2 linked regions of the Sus scrofa genome follow. The protein of the gene in region 2 purifies or fractionates together with the protein of the main gene of each other region. This does not show direct contact. Links are inferred from orthologs where the notes say so. Each region holds a gene or a part of one and is shown on either strand. Other genes may lie near its edges.

What was found. Proteins that work in one complex are often made in the same cells at the same time.
Region 1: the proteins of TACC3 (region 2) and VASP purify together in Homo sapiens (co-immunoprecipitation; 3 studies listed by BioGRID and IntAct, with this or other methods). This does not show direct contact. The link is inferred for Sus scrofa from reciprocal best matches to the Homo sapiens genes TACC3 and VASP.

What each region holds. Positions count from the first base shown.
Region 1 is NC_010448.4:51,872,416-51,876,158, forward strand, and holds the start of VASP (vasodilator-stimulated phosphoprotein), read left to right. Parts: upstream 1-1,259; 5' UTR 1,260-1,583; coding exon of another isoform or gene 1,584-1,588; intron 1,589-2,359; exon of another isoform or gene 2,360-2,662; intron 2,663-2,969; exon of another isoform or gene 2,970-3,063; intron 3,064-3,743. UniProt on the Homo sapiens protein: Ena/VASP proteins are actin-associated proteins involved in a range of processes dependent on cytoskeleton remodeling and cell polarity such as axon guidance, lamellipodial and filopodial dynamics, platelet activation and cell migration.
Region 2 is NC_010450.4:824,391-828,133, reverse strand, and holds the start of TACC3 (transforming acidic coiled-coil-containing protein 3), read right to left. Parts: upstream 2,702-3,743; 5' UTR 2,283-2,701; exon of another isoform or gene 1,901-2,282; intron 1,329-1,900; exon of another isoform or gene 1,079-1,328; intron 579-1,078; 5' UTR 578-578; coding exon 416-577; intron 262-415; coding exon 119-261; intron 1-118. Other genes in the region: TMEM129 (E3 ubiquitin-protein ligase TM129), read left to right, coding at 2,952-3,156. UniProt on the Homo sapiens protein: Plays a role in the microtubule-dependent coupling of the nucleus and the centrosome. Involved in the processes that regulate centrosome-mediated interkinetic nuclear migration (INM) of neural progenitors.

The DNA of each region.
Region 1 (3,743 bases), on a different chromosome or scaffold from region 2:
GTGGAAAAGGGAAGAGGATCACTCCATTCTTCAGAGAAGGTTTAACGACAGAGCACAGCCTAGAAATGACGTGAAGGTCAGGACGGCACCCAGGCAGCAGATTCAGCTTGGAAAAAGGCTGGGAAGGTTAACTTCCTCACCTCCTCGGCTCTGCCCTGAGCTGTTTGTTTTACACGCATACCTTGCACCCAGGCACCAGTGGAGTTTTAGGAGGCTCAGGCAAGAATGCTGAGCCCATACTTACAACCTGCCTCCAGACCTCAGTTTACCCATTTCGAAAAGTGGAACTGATGATTTCCCAGGCTCCCACACCAGCCTAGGGCATCTAACCCAGGCCAGGTGGCGCTCTACGGGAGGGGCATGACCGTGTTGGTGACGTCACGTGGGGCGGAGCCTGAGGGACCCGCTGCGGACGCCCGGGAAGGGTGTAGGGACTCAGCCCCAAGCTGGCGCGTGGGGGTGGGGGCTCGCGGGATCAGGCGCTAGGGAGAGTCCCCCCACCTCCGTGTCCTCGGATTGTTGGATGATCCCGCCATCATCCGCCGACGAAACTGAGTCACGGCGGGGAGTGCGTGGGGAGGGGGTCGTGGGCCTTATTCGCAGCGGGACCAGGAGTCCCATTCCCACTCAGGTCCTGCACCGCACCTCCCCTCCCCCCGCCCCCCCCCACACCCTGCGGCTGTGAGTCAGCGGCCAGCCGCGCCCCCTCGGCCCACTTCCTCCTCACCTTCCCTGGGCGGGCGCGGTGGGGGGGGCGGCAACGAAGGAGGTGGGGCCCCTCCTCACCCATCCCCCTCCTCGGAGGGGGGGGTGCACCCCTTAGTAGAGCTTCATAAACGGGCGGAGGAGAGAGACGTTGGGGGAGGTCCGAAGGTAGGATTTAAGGGAGAAAATTTGAATCTATGCTTAACCAGAGGGTCCTTCTCGCCCCCCACACTGAGTAGAATGTAAAGAAATGGAGAAGTCGATGGGGAGGGTGAGAAGAGATTGTGCCCCCACTGAGAGTCCCCAGAGAATTTCTATCATGAGAGAGAACTAAGGATGAAGGAAGGATCCCTTCCCCCCCAACAAGCTTGCCCCCCTAATTTGGGGGTGACTCCCCAGAGTGCATCGCTGTGCAATAACGTTGGGGAAGAGGGAAATAGCGGAAGTCTAAGGTTCCGCGTTGCCCTTTTAAGCACCCTCCACCCTCCAATCCCACAGCCTGGAGGTGTCCGCGGCCCCTTTAAGGCGCAGGGCATTGTGGGTGCGGGGAGTGGAATTTTGGAACGAAATGTAGCGAAGAGAAGTACAGTAGTAAGAGTAACATTGTAGCCGCCGCCAGCTGAGGGGGCGCGCCGGGGAGGGGACGCCGCACCCCCTTTCTGCCGCAAGGACCCCGGATCAGCTCCCCAAAGGGAGGAGGCGCCTGAGGATCCGCGCCGGCCCTGTCCACGTTCCCCCCAGGAAGCCGGACTCTATGGGGCGGGACCCTGGGGGAGACTGAGCAGAACCTGGAGCCAGCCCCGAACCCCTGAACCTCGAGCCAGGGGCGCCCCGGGAGCACCTACCCCGTGGGCGCTCCGCCCGCCAGCCGAGCAGCCATGAGGTGAGCCTCGAACTGCCTCTAGACCCTTCCCTGCCCGGCGCGGGATCCCGCCCCGCCTTTGTCCCCCTCCCCCCAGCTTGCTCCGGGCTGGAATTTAGGGACAGGGCACTGGGAGCCTCGAATTTGAGGCCGATCCCCCTTGGACGGGCTCCAAATATTGATCACTTTCCCTTGATTCCCAAGGCTCCGGGTGGTGCCGGTGAGGTTCTCCCGGGAGCCCTCAGATTTGGGGGCGCTCCGAGGACTCCCGAATTTTTAAAAGACTTTTTCGGAGGACTTCTAAGTTGTTAGGTACTCCCGGCCGGGAGGCTGGGATTTAGGCAGGGCTCAGACTCCCCCCAAATCTTAGCCGGCCCCAGGAGAGATTATGGGGGGGCCAGTTTGGAGGTCCCTGGGACCTGGAAGAGAGATTGAAACGAAGATCTTGGCTTTCGGGGTCCCTCTTTACATGGTGCCGGGAAACGTCTTCCCAAGAGGACTTTGCCCCTTAACTTCGAGGGCTCTTAACCCCCTAAATTTAGGGGTTCTCGTCCTCCTGTGGAGGAGGCTGGTGCGGACAGATCCACCGACCCAGATGCAGCCTCGAGGATCTGGTTCGGACTCCCCGCCGCTTCCCACTCACAATTTGCTTAAAACGGGCTGTGCCTAGGGCCGAGGGCGGCACCCCGGCCCCGTGCCAGAGGGGCAGCCCCTTTTCCCACCTGCGCGGGCCCTTGGGAGGGAGGGGGCGCGGCAGCTGGGGGAAGGGGGGCCTTTGTCTTCCTGACTCACCTGTCGAGACAGCTGGTGTGGGGGGCGGGCAAGGAGCGCCGTGGGCCGGCTGCTTTCCCCACCACAGCGCCTCCCCCTTCTCTCCACATCGCCCCCCCTTCCCCAGCGGTCCGGAGTTGTGCGGTTGTTGGAGGGGGCGTTGGGAAGCTTCAAGGTCATAGCCCTCTTCCCCTGGGAGCCGGGCTTCCCAAAGAGTTCTAGCTATCTTCCCAGGAATTTAATCCTGGGGACCGGGGGCCCAAGGCACCCAGGGATTTTGTCTTTCCTGGGCTTCGTTCAAAACTCCTGGGCTCACCTGAGGGCGGGGCCGGTGTTGGCTGGGGGACCCGACTAGGCCCCCCTATTCTCCCCTCCCCCTGGCCCCCCATAATCTCTCCCTTGAGCCTGACAATACTACCTCCCTTCCTCTACTCTCGCAGGGACTTCCTGCCCCAGAGCCCCCAGGTTGAGGGGGAGGCCCCGAGGACGGCTGGGGATTAACCCCCTGCTGCCCACATCCTCCCACTTCCCCCACATTCCCCGTACCCCTGCCCTCTCACATCAGGGTGGCATTGCTTTTTACGGCCATCAGAGAACCCCCATTCCCACGTTTGTTCCTTCTGCGGTAAAGGGATTGTTGGAAAATTTGGAGCAAGGGAGCACCCGCAGACCCGCACGAGACTTCCTGCCTAGCCTGCCCCTGCTCACAGCAACATCCCTTCAAGGTACGCCCCGAGGGGGCAGGTTTCGGGAGCCAGGCTCCGTTCCTTCACCTTCCTCCCCGGGGGACTCTCCTCTCCCCCAGCCCCCCAGCCCCGCCCCTTGCCTCCCCCCCCCCCCCGCCGCGTTTCCGGTCCCAGGCACCGTGGAAGGCGGATGGCGGATGTCCGAGTTAGTGCTGCCTCACTCACTGAGACCGTAAAAGGGCAGGAGCAATGTCTGGGCCTCCCGCCCCCCTCCCCCAGTCCCGGAGGCCCTCGCCCTCCCGCAAGGCCCCCGACTGCTGGCCTCGGCCAAACCTCCCACCTCCTGGGGGGTGGGCAGAAGTCGAGCCGAGGCCTGTCCCACCAGAGGGTTACTCCCACCTCGAGAGGGGTCTTCCCTGCCTGTGACCACACCCGACTTCCTGGGCCGGGCCCCTTCTCCCCCTGCCAGGATTCCAAAGGACCCATGCCCCTGTATGGGGGTGGGGGGCAGCTGGGGAAACTGAGGCTCAAAGAGAGAAAGACCTGGCCCAAGATCGCTCAGAAATTCCTAAGCACTACTGAGGAAGGGGAGGGGGCTGGGCTCCTCTGACTTCTGGCTGGTTTGGCTGGGGACAGTCTTGGGGGCAGTTGGAAGGGAGGATGTTGAGATGGAAAATTACAAGATACAGTTCTTTTTCTCTTGGTTTGACAAATATTTG
Region 2 (3,743 bases):
CTTCCAACTCCCACACAAACTTGGAGCAGAGACCAGGAGGAACCAGCTCGGACGTTTTCCTGCGGAGTCCGCCGGAGAGGTTACCGATTGCGGGTTGCCAAACAGCGCCAACACTTACCTCTCTTTCCGGGCCCGGCCTTGATGAGAGCTTTCTAGTCCAACGGTGTCCCCTAGAGCTGAAGAAGCGTCCAGCTTGCTGCCCATGCTGGGACTTAAGATCCGGTGAGTCTGTGGATCCCGCAGAGGTGTCTGAAAAGTCACCTGTCGGGGAGACAGGAAGGCACTCGTCCAATAACTCACACCTTCCCCCACCACACTAGAAGCCACCGGGCCCCGCCCGGCCAGCTGGCTAAGGCCCCGGGAAAGCAGGCCCCGGGACTGCACGTGTGACCCCCAGGAGATCTGCGGGGCTCACCTTCGTGGCTTTGGCTGTGCTCTTGGGCGGCACATTTTCTTTCTGGGACAGCCGGAGGACAGATGATCTTCCGGTAAGTTCCAGTGGTGAAAACAGGAAGTCGCAATTTTCTGTACTTCTGTCACCAGTGACATTTTCATCACTGAAGACGTGCAGACTCATTCTGGGAAAGCAGAGAGTTGTGAGTCAAGAGGAGGGCGGGGACACCCTGTTGTCTAGACGCACATATGTGAAGACAAGCGAGCTGACCCCACGGTGCCGCAGGGTGGACGTCCCCTTCCTGCACGGGCGTGTGTGTGTGTGTGTGAGACACCGCAGGCAGCATGTCCTCTGCCAGAGCGTGTCCTTATCCCGTTCTGGGGGGAGCTGCCCCTCCCGGGAGAAAGAGCTAGGAGGGCTCTCAGCCCACAGGGCAAGAAGGAAGAACAGGTCCTCGAAATAACTGGAACTTTGTGGGTAAAAGTTGGGAGACAGATAAGGGCTGATCTGTGACAAAACTGGCAGAGGCCTTGGCACTGGGGCTGGAGCAGGCAGCCGAGATGGAGGAGGGCAGAAAAGCAGAAGGGCAGGGCAGCTGGCTCTCTGCCCACCGACGGGGGCGCCAGGAGGGCCAAGGCTCAGAGGAGGAGCAGGGATGGTAACAAGCGGCACGTGCAGGATCACCTGTGGGGAGTTGAGGTGCTTCTACACCAGGGTCTGGAGACTAGAAACACACCAGGGGCCTCCGGTCGGGTCCACGAGGTTCTAGAATAGTCCTACTCCTCCTTCCCAAATTCATCATGGTCACCTACCCGGCATTCCCAACTTAGGAGTCACCAGAAAACTGGGCAGCACAGGTACCTGCTGGGGGTGGGGGCCCCGGGGACCTCAGCTGCAAGAGCAAAACGGCTGGGGCCTAAGGAACACGGGTGCCCTGGAACGAGGTGAGGTCAGGGGGATGAGCCGCCTGGAGGGTGTGGGGTTGGGTGCTGCGTGTGGAGCAGGGAGCGGGAGGAGGGAAGCAGGGAGCCAGAGGCTCTTGTCTGTGGCCAGGGGGGAGCGGTCAGCCCTGGCTTGGCCAGCAGGCCCACACGCGGCGTGGGGAGGTGGGAAAGGGAAGCCTAAGTCAAGGGGGACTACTGGGTTTGGCCTGGGGGACGGGGTGAAACGGGGAGGGGCCGGAGGGCCCTGGGCCACAGGAGGGAGACTTAGAGCACCCTTTCTGTGGGATCCCTTCACCTGGGGAAGGTGGGGGTGCGACAATGGCAGCCTCTACGGGTTTGGCTCCTACTAATGACGGGGGGCCAGGGAGGCGGCTCCTGAGCAGAAGGGGCGAGGCCAGCGCGGAGGAGGACTGGCGTCGAGGGCCTGCCGGCAGGCTCTTGAGAATCAGCGCTGGAGCCCAGGTTTCTGCTGCAGGTGCCGCGGGGTCGGTGATGACTCACAGGTGGGGCTGCGCCGGGAGGAGGGGCCGGGCAGCAAGGCGGAGGCTGGTCAGGGGCGGAGTGCCAGTGCGGGTCACCGCCACAGGGGGCCGGGGGCTGGGCGAGGTCACCGGGGAGAGGGAAGACCGGTGCGACCGGCCGGAGGGTCCTCGTGGAGGGCGATATAGGGGCCACTAGGCGTCCTCGGGAGGCAGGGCCGAGAGCCCACCGGCTCCGCTGCCAGCTGCGGCCGGGCCGGCTGGATGAGTGCGGGCGAGATGGGACCCCGGGGAAGGGGGCGCCCCGAGGTGGGGGGGGCGAGGAGAGCCGACTGTGGGCACCGCGGCGCCGCGGGAGGAGTCAGAGATCCGTGTCCAGGCCGCCACTGCGACAGGCTAAGGCCCGAGGACAGGCCAGAAGAGGCAGGAACGGAGCCCCGAGCCCGGACCCGGTCGCCGTCTTACCTGCCGGCCGCTGCGCGGAACCGAAGGAGCGGGAGGCGCCGTGTCCGGGAGCCCGGCTGCCCGCCGCCGATTCAAATATCGACGGTTGGCGCGTACGGCCAATCAGCGCGTGGCCGGGGCGGGACACAGGGCGTCGAAGGCCAATGGGAGGCTGCGCCCAAGAGGCGGCTTCCGCTTCCGGGCGAGGCGGCACGCTAGGCAGGGCGGCCCCTGGAATTCTCGGTAGCCCAGGCTCGTCCAGCAGACGAAGGTGAAACGCGGCTCGAGAGCGGGCGGTGAGTGCGGGGCCCGCCGTCGCCCAGGAATCTCGGGCTCTGCGCAGACGCGCCTGGGCTGCGCGGAAAGGCCCAGGGCCTGAGAGCTGCTCGCCCGAGTCTGTATTCCCAGCTGTGGAATGGAGCCAAGTTCAGCGCCGCCCTCAGGGCGGGTCGTGGGGAGGCTCCAAACCCTCGCGAGGACTGCCGCGGCGGCTCAGGACGTCTGGCCGCGAGCGGGGTCCTGGAACTTCATTTCCCAGAGCGCCCCGCGAGCGGCCTGAGGGTGGGGACTACACGTCCCAGGGCGCCCCGCGCGGCCCCGGCGCCTACCGGACGCGGACGCTGAGGCCTGTTTTGCGCCCCGGGGCGGGGGGCCTCGCCCGGACGGCTTCCCGGCGGCTACGGCGGCGCGATGGACAGCCCCGAGGTCACCTTCACGCTGGCCTACCTGGTGTTCGCCGTATGCTTCGTGTTCACCCCCACCGAGTTCCACTCGGCCGGGCTCACGGTGCAGAACCTGCTGTCGGGCTGGCTGGGCAGCGAGGACGCCGCCTTCGTGCCCTACCACCTGCGCCGCACGGCCGCCACGCTGCTGTGCCACTCGCTGCTGCCGCTCGGTGAGCTCGCGGGGCGCGCGGCGGAGCTGGGGGCGGGGGGGGGGCGCTGGAGGCCCATCTCCCGGACCCCAGGGGGGAAGAGACGGGGGAGCGCGCGCGGGCCGCAGAGCCGAGGCCGTGGGCTAAGCGCCCCGTGCGAGGAGGAGGGTGCTGGTCGCAGCTGCCTCTTGCGGGCAGCAGAACCCTGGGGGAGAGGATGCTCTGGTCACTGGGGCAGGTGGGGAGCTGTCACCTAGGGGCAGCTCCCAGGAAAGGGGCATGATGCCAACAGAGGTGGCCGGCCCCAGTCCTTGGAAGAGGGGTGCAGGAAGGGCAGGCAGGGAGGGCGACTGCAGTTGAGAGCGTCTCAGGTGCGGGGCGGGGAGAGGCGTGTGTGCGGCCAGGAAGCTCAGGTGTTGCCAGGGGCTGTGCTGGGCAGGTGAGCCAGGTGCTAACTGGCCTCTGGGAGGCTGACTGGTTGGAGAGTGGGGTCCTAAGCGCGGAATCTCTGGAGAACTTGGGCTCACACGTAAGTGGGGGAGGGCGGGTGGCGGTGGCCAGCCCTGTCTGGAGCTGCCATGGTGGACATGGGAGGGGTTTCCAGCTGG